Saccharomyces cerevisiae S288C: one gene and its partner. The protein of the gene in region 1 binds, or shares a complex with, the protein of each later gene. Each region holds a gene or a part of one and is shown on either strand. Other genes may lie near its edges. A codon is read from its position in the direction of its gene.

Evidence for each region. Proteins that work in one complex are often made in the same cells at the same time.
Region 2: the proteins of QCR6 (region 1) and CYT1 are in contact, whole or in part, in a cryo-EM structure (PDB 6HU9), measured with the Saccharomyces cerevisiae proteins. Residues at the interface, in NP_116691.3 of Saccharomyces cerevisiae: Val74 (codon at 2,100), Thr75 (codon at 2,103), Asp76 (codon at 2,106), Gln77 (codon at 2,109), Leu78 (codon at 2,112), Glu79 (codon at 2,115), Arg82 (codon at 2,124), Tyr98 (codon at 2,172), Ala102 (codon at 2,184), Val105 (codon at 2,193), Gln109 (codon at 2,205), Glu121 (codon at 2,241), Asp122 (codon at 2,244), Cys123 (codon at 2,247), Val124 (codon at 2,250), Phe127 (codon at 2,259), Phe128 (codon at 2,262), Gln131 (codon at 2,271), His132 (codon at 2,274), Asp135 (codon at 2,283), Thr138 (codon at 2,292), Ala139 (codon at 2,295), Leu142 (codon at 2,304), Phe143 (codon at 2,307), Leu146 (codon at 2,316), Lys147 (codon at 2,319); in NP_014708.1 of Saccharomyces cerevisiae: Ala64 (codon at 1,942), Ala65 (codon at 1,945), Gly68 (codon at 1,954), Leu69 (codon at 1,957), Pro72 (codon at 1,966), Ala73 (codon at 1,969), Tyr74 (codon at 1,972), Ala75 (codon at 1,975), Trp76 (codon at 1,978), Arg92 (codon at 2,026), Phe192 (codon at 2,326), Thr196 (codon at 2,338), Gly197 (codon at 2,341), Pro199 (codon at 2,347), Pro202 (codon at 2,356), Pro203 (codon at 2,359), Ala204 (codon at 2,362), Gly205 (codon at 2,365), Val206 (codon at 2,368), Tyr214 (codon at 2,392), Pro216 (codon at 2,398), Tyr217 (codon at 2,401), Arg227 (codon at 2,431), Asp231 (codon at 2,443), Thr240 (codon at 2,470), Pro241 (codon at 2,473), Thr243 (codon at 2,479), Thr244 (codon at 2,482), Ser245 (codon at 2,485), Gln246 (codon at 2,488).

The regions. Positions count from the first base shown.
Region 1 is NC_001138.5:223,753-226,649, reverse strand, and holds QCR6 (ubiquinol--cytochrome-c reductase subunit 6), read left to right. Parts: upstream 1-1,880; coding exon 1,881-2,324; downstream 2,325-2,897. Other genes in the region: YFR035W-A (uncharacterized protein), read right to left, coding at 100-390; YFR035C (uncharacterized protein), read left to right, coding at 185-529; phosphate-sensing transcription factor PHO4, read left to right, coding at 692-1,630; MIN10 (Min10p), read left to right, coding at 2,677-2,897. UniProt on the Saccharomyces cerevisiae protein: Component of the ubiquinol-cytochrome c oxidoreductase, a multisubunit transmembrane complex that is part of the mitochondrial electron transport chain which drives oxidative phosphorylation.
Region 2 is NC_001147.6:445,687-448,941, forward strand, and holds CYT1 (ubiquinol--cytochrome-c reductase catalytic subunit CYT1), read left to right. Parts: upstream 1-1,752; coding exon 1,753-2,682; downstream 2,683-3,255. Other genes in the region: 60S ribosomal protein uL3 RPL3, read left to right, coding at 1-163; YNG1 (Yng1p), read right to left, coding at 393-1,052. UniProt on the Saccharomyces cerevisiae protein: Component of the ubiquinol-cytochrome c oxidoreductase, a multisubunit transmembrane complex that is part of the mitochondrial electron transport chain which drives oxidative phosphorylation.

The sequences.
Region 1 (2,897 bases):
TCTATTTTGCATATTTTCCTATATTTTCCTATATTTTTTTCTCGGCTCTTATACAGCAAAACTAGGTTCATATAAAAAAGATACGGTTATATGCATTATTTAGATCGGAAAAAGTCTCTGTCTAATGCGGTCACCTAGGGTTCGTCCTTTCAAGCGTATGTAAGACAACCATTCCTTCACACCCATGAGCGCGAGTGACAAAACAAAGCTCTGCAATAAGGGCATGAGCAGGACATCGCGAACCACAACTTTCGTAATCACACCCGCCTTCCGTGAGAGAGACGATGAGGGTGCCAATTCCCTGTGTAAAGCTTTCTTGAACACTTTCTCGAACCTCAAATCAGGTATGTTCAAATGTTTGTTGGGAGTTGGCGCCGTAGGTACGTTCATTTCTACGTTCCCACAGTTTTTCTTGCTGCCTTGCCTTCTTTGCGTACGGTGTGTATGTGTATGTCTGTGTGCAAGTATTTCCTATGCTGCAAGTGCGATTTTCTCGTTTTCTATTTTTTTTTTTTTTTGCCTCGCCTAATATGTGGTAGGCGAAAGGCTGACCCGGCCGCTCGCACGGAAATATTTGGCAAATGAGTCTTGACCATAGAAAAATGTATATAACCAGGGAAGAAGTCATGCTTCGGAAGGACCAGAAGAGAAGAGATGAGCAAAGGAGACAGAACAAGAGTAGCAGAAAGTCATGGGCCGTACAACTTCTGAGGGAATACACGGTTTTGTGGACGATCTAGAGCCCAAGAGCAGCATTCTTGATAAAGTCGGAGACTTTATCACCGTAAACACGAAACGGCATGATGGGCGCGAGGACTTCAACGAGCAAAACGACGAGCTGAACAGTCAAGAGAACCACAACAGCAGTGAGAATGGGAACGAGAATGAAAATGAACAAGACAGTCTCGCGTTGGACGACCTAGACCGCGCCTTTGAGCTGGTGGAAGGTATGGATATGGACTGGATGATGCCCTCGCATGCGCACCACTCCCCAGCTACAACTGCTACAATCAAGCCGCGGCTATTATATTCGCCGCTAATACACACGCAAAGTGCGGTTCCCGTAACCATTTCGCCGAACTTGGTCGCTACTGCTACTTCCACCACATCCGCTAACAAAGTCACTAAAAACAAGAGTAATAGTAGTCCGTATTTGAACAAGCGCAGAGGTAAACCCGGGCCGGATTCGGCCACTTCGCTGTTCGAATTGCCCGACAGCGTTATCCCAACTCCGAAACCGAAACCGAAACCAAAGCAATATCCGAAAGTTATTCTGCCGTCGAACAGCACAAGACGCGTATCACCGGTCACGGCCAAGACCAGCAGCAGCGCAGAAGGCGTGGTCGTAGCAAGTGAGTCTCCTGTAATCGCGCCGCACGGATCGAGCCATTCGCGGTCGCTGAGTAAGCGACGGTCATCGGGCGCGCTCGTGGACGATGACAAGCGCGAATCACACAAGCATGCAGAGCAAGCACGGCGTAATCGATTAGCGGTCGCGCTGCACGAACTGGCGTCTTTAATCCCCGCGGAGTGGAAACAGCAAAATGTGTCGGCCGCGCCGTCCAAAGCGACCACCGTGGAGGCGGCCTGCCGGTACATCCGTCACCTACAGCAGAACGTGAGCACGTGACCGTGCACCAATGGGAAGCACGTTCCGGGCATATCGGACTGGGGCGCGCCTCCCCTGCGCGGTGCTTGTTATAAGAGGCGCTTTGCTGGAAAGTGGCCCACACCGGGTTTTCGAGATTAGGACCTACTCAGTCTTAAGGGCAGTATTGGTTGGCGCTTATTTGCACATATTGTATACACGCACTCACATTAACAGAAGCACACATATACACTTACACCTACACACACGGATAAAGAAAAAGAAATAGAAAATGGGCATGTTGGAACTAGTTGGTGAGTACTGGGAACAACTAAAGATAACCGTTGTGCCTGTTGTGGCCGCGGCCGAAGATGACGATAACGAGCAGCATGAAGAAAAGGCAGCAGAAGGAGAAGAAAAAGAAGAAGAAAATGGGGATGAAGATGAGGATGAAGACGAAGACGAAGATGATGATGATGATGACGACGAAGATGAGGAAGAAGAGGAAGAAGTCACTGATCAGTTGGAAGATTTGAGAGAACATTTCAAGAACACGGAGGAGGGTAAGGCCCTTGTGCACCACTACGAGGAGTGTGCTGAGAGAGTCAAGATACAGCAACAACAACCCGGCTACGCGGATCTTGAACACAAGGAGGACTGTGTGGAGGAGTTTTTCCATCTACAGCACTATTTGGACACTGCCACGGCACCTAGATTATTTGACAAATTAAAGTAGTCTGTTTATCCGTCATATTCCCTATATTCATATTTATTCTGAGTCTTGTTACAATTTCTTCAAGAAACCGATCCTTATTTAACCTACTGTATTTAGAAAGTAAATAAATAAACTAAAATCAAAGCAAAAATAATTTTATACACTATTCTTATTTTTATTTTTTAATTTTTAATTTTTTTTATAAGGGAGCACAAGTATACAGACGGAAAAGGGATTAGGCTTTTTTTATGCGCTCTGTCTAGTACTGTTTTCTTTTACATCCGTACATACTCTTAGACCCATACAGCGCATGTATTCTTGTTTTCGACTTTTTTTTGGTTTTTTTTTTTTAGTTCTGTAAGGACAAAGAAAAATGGTCGCTAGCCGCGCTCGGGAAAACCAGCGATATTCTCAATGTAGGAAGTCTACCATTTTCCCTTTAGGCTTTGCCATAATCTCTGGATACATACAATTTCAGAATATTTCAATACTGCATATTTCAAGATTCAACCCATTATTTTATAACATTTTTCATTCAATATTCAAGAACCCCGGAACAACAATACAGTTAGAAAGTACGTTATATTATCATGA
Region 2 (3,255 bases), on another chromosome or scaffold:
AATTGTTACTTTGAGAAAGTCTTTGTACACCAACACTTCTAGAAAGGCTTTGGAAGAAGTCAGCTTGAAGTGGATTGACACTGCTTCTAAGTTCGGTAAGGGTAGATTCCAAACCCCAGCTGAAAAGCATGCTTTCATGGGTACTTTGAAGAAGGACTTGTAAGAAGTTTTGTTAGAAAATAAATCATTTTTTAATTGAGCATTCTTATTCCTATTTTATTTAAATAGTTTTATGTATTGTTAGCTACATACAACAGTTTAAATCAAATTTTCTTTTTCCCAAGTCCAAAATGGAGGTTTATTTTGATGACCCGCATGCGATTATGTTTTGAAAGTATAAGACTACATACATGTACATATATTTAAACATGTAAACCCGTCCATTATATTGCTTACTTTCTTCTTTTTTGCCGTTTTGACTTGGACCTCTGGTTTGCTATTTCCTTACAATCTTTGCTACAATACCATTTGCCCTTGGGAGCTTGTTTCAGGCCTACGCAACCATAATGGAACCACTCGAAGGGACAAGCCGGATTATCACAAGCCACCATTGGCCCATAAGATACATTCCTACAGAAACAATAAACCTCCTCTTGATTATTATTACCCTCTGTTACATCACCCTGGTTAATCCCAATTGTGGGGCTAGTTATGCTCTCTTTTCTTTCCCTCGATTTAGCCTTTTTCAAGTTAATCTTTAAAAGCAGTTTTGGCTCCTTATATGCTCCTGGTTCTTCTAACGTCAACTTCGACTTGATATTCTCTAGCGAAGAGTTGAAATTTTTTGTCACTGACTTCTGTATCTCTAGTTCCTTCTTATGCTGCTTTAAGAAATGAATCTGATCATCGACCAGATCATTAATATAAGTCGCTACCAGCAACAGATCCCTACAGGCCCTTTCCATACCAGGCTCATCCTCTTCATTCTTGAATAAGTCGATTGTTTGCATCAGTCGAAGAGATCTTATTAGTTCACATGGTAAATGATCCAAAGTGCTAAGGAAACTGTACCTGATATCCGAATCCGAGTTTTCGTTGGCGAGATGTTCCATTGCTGTAGACGAAAAAAACTTCCTTGTAAAGCGGATGTGCTAGCGCATCATACATTTCAGTTCTATTAAGACTTTCACAGATGCTGTTGTGATGTTCTGTGAGCCAATCCCAAATGTTTGTATAAGGACGGAAATAAGACGGAGCGCCACGTGACTGAAGATTTTTTTTTTCTCGGATTTCTTGGTAATGGGCGGCCGGTATTTCCGGCGGCCAAAAAATGCGAGGATTTGGTTGGTGGAGAGGGTCGAGCGCCTTTACCCTGCGTAGATACTAAGGGGGCTCTTTCTAGTATATAAACAATTTGAATAATAACGAGGTTAGACGTCCAACTGGATCCATAGACTATCTAAGCTTTTAGTAGAGGCCATTCGTTTTCTTATTAATCATCGGTTTCACAATCTTTCTTTGTTAAGCAACATTTTATACATTTTTGTACTTTATCTTCAAATATTAAGGACAAGAAAGAAAAAGAAAAAGAATCCATATTCTATATTAGTGTAACACTATTTTTCTTAAATATTTTTTCCAGTACTCCCCCAGTTTGATAAAAAGCATTCATTGAATTTCCCCACATTTGTGATATCTTCAATTGATTAGTTTGAACTAGTTCTGAAAAATAATATTTTACAATTTGCATTTTCATTACACTATATCATCTACTATTTTTTCTCAGAAGCGGAAGTTATAACTAATTTGACAATGTTTTCAAATCTATCTAAACGTTGGGCTCAAAGGACCCTCTCGAAAAGTTTCTACTCTACCGCAACAGGTGCTGCTAGTAAATCTGGCAAGCTTACTCAAAAGCTCGTTACAGCGGGTGTTGCTGCCGCCGGTATCACCGCATCGACTTTACTCTATGCAGACTCCTTAACTGCCGAAGCTATGACCGCAGCTGAACACGGATTGCACGCCCCAGCATATGCTTGGTCCCACAATGGGCCTTTTGAAACATTTGATCATGCATCCATTAGAAGAGGTTACCAGGTTTACCGTGAAGTTTGTGCCGCCTGCCATTCTCTTGACAGAGTTGCTTGGAGAACTTTGGTTGGTGTTTCTCATACCAACGAAGAGGTTCGTAATATGGCCGAAGAATTTGAATACGATGACGAACCTGATGAACAAGGTAACCCTAAAAAGAGACCAGGTAAGTTGTCCGATTACATCCCTGGCCCATACCCAAACGAACAGGCTGCAAGAGCTGCCAATCAAGGTGCCTTGCCACCTGATCTATCTTTGATCGTGAAAGCTAGACACGGTGGTTGTGACTACATTTTCTCTTTGTTGACCGGTTATCCTGATGAACCTCCTGCTGGTGTGGCTTTACCACCAGGTTCTAATTATAACCCTTACTTCCCAGGTGGTTCCATTGCAATGGCAAGAGTCTTGTTTGATGACATGGTTGAGTACGAAGATGGTACCCCCGCAACGACATCTCAAATGGCAAAGGACGTTACCACCTTTTTAAACTGGTGTGCCGAACCTGAACATGACGAAAGAAAGAGATTGGGTTTGAAAACGGTGATAATCTTATCATCTTTGTATTTGCTATCTATCTGGGTGAAGAAGTTCAAATGGGCCGGTATCAAAACCAGAAAATTCGTTTTCAATCCACCAAAACCAAGAAAGTAGTTGACAAAAAAATGAAAACCACTATTATTTAAATTACGGAAAAAAAAAAACCAATAAACAAAAAACATAATAAAAGAAATGAAAAAAAAGAATATTAGTAGAGCATACTGAATTGTTTTCAGAAAGAGAGTGAAAGGTAACAAAAATTTACCTACTTTTCCTTTTTATTTCTCTGGTTTCGTTTCTTTTTTTTCGGCCACCCTATTTATTTTTTCACTGCTTGTAAACAACGTCTCACTTCAATAGTGTCTCCTTCATGTACTGAGATACTGCTGCAAGCGAAATATCACGAATAATAATATAAAAAAAAAAAAAAAAAAAAAAAAAGATGTTTAAATGTTAACAACCTAACAGCAATAAAAAATAAAAATAAAGGTAGAAGATTGCAAGAAAGAAACTTTACAATATTTTGTTTGGATGCCCAACACCGGCGTCTTGGTGTTCTTCTATAATATTTATTTTATTTATTTTTTATTTATATATGTACATATATATTCCTATTATCTATTAAGAAAGTAAACTTAGTGTAAATCTACCACTGTTCCAAGGCTTTGGCCATCCACCTTCTCTTTC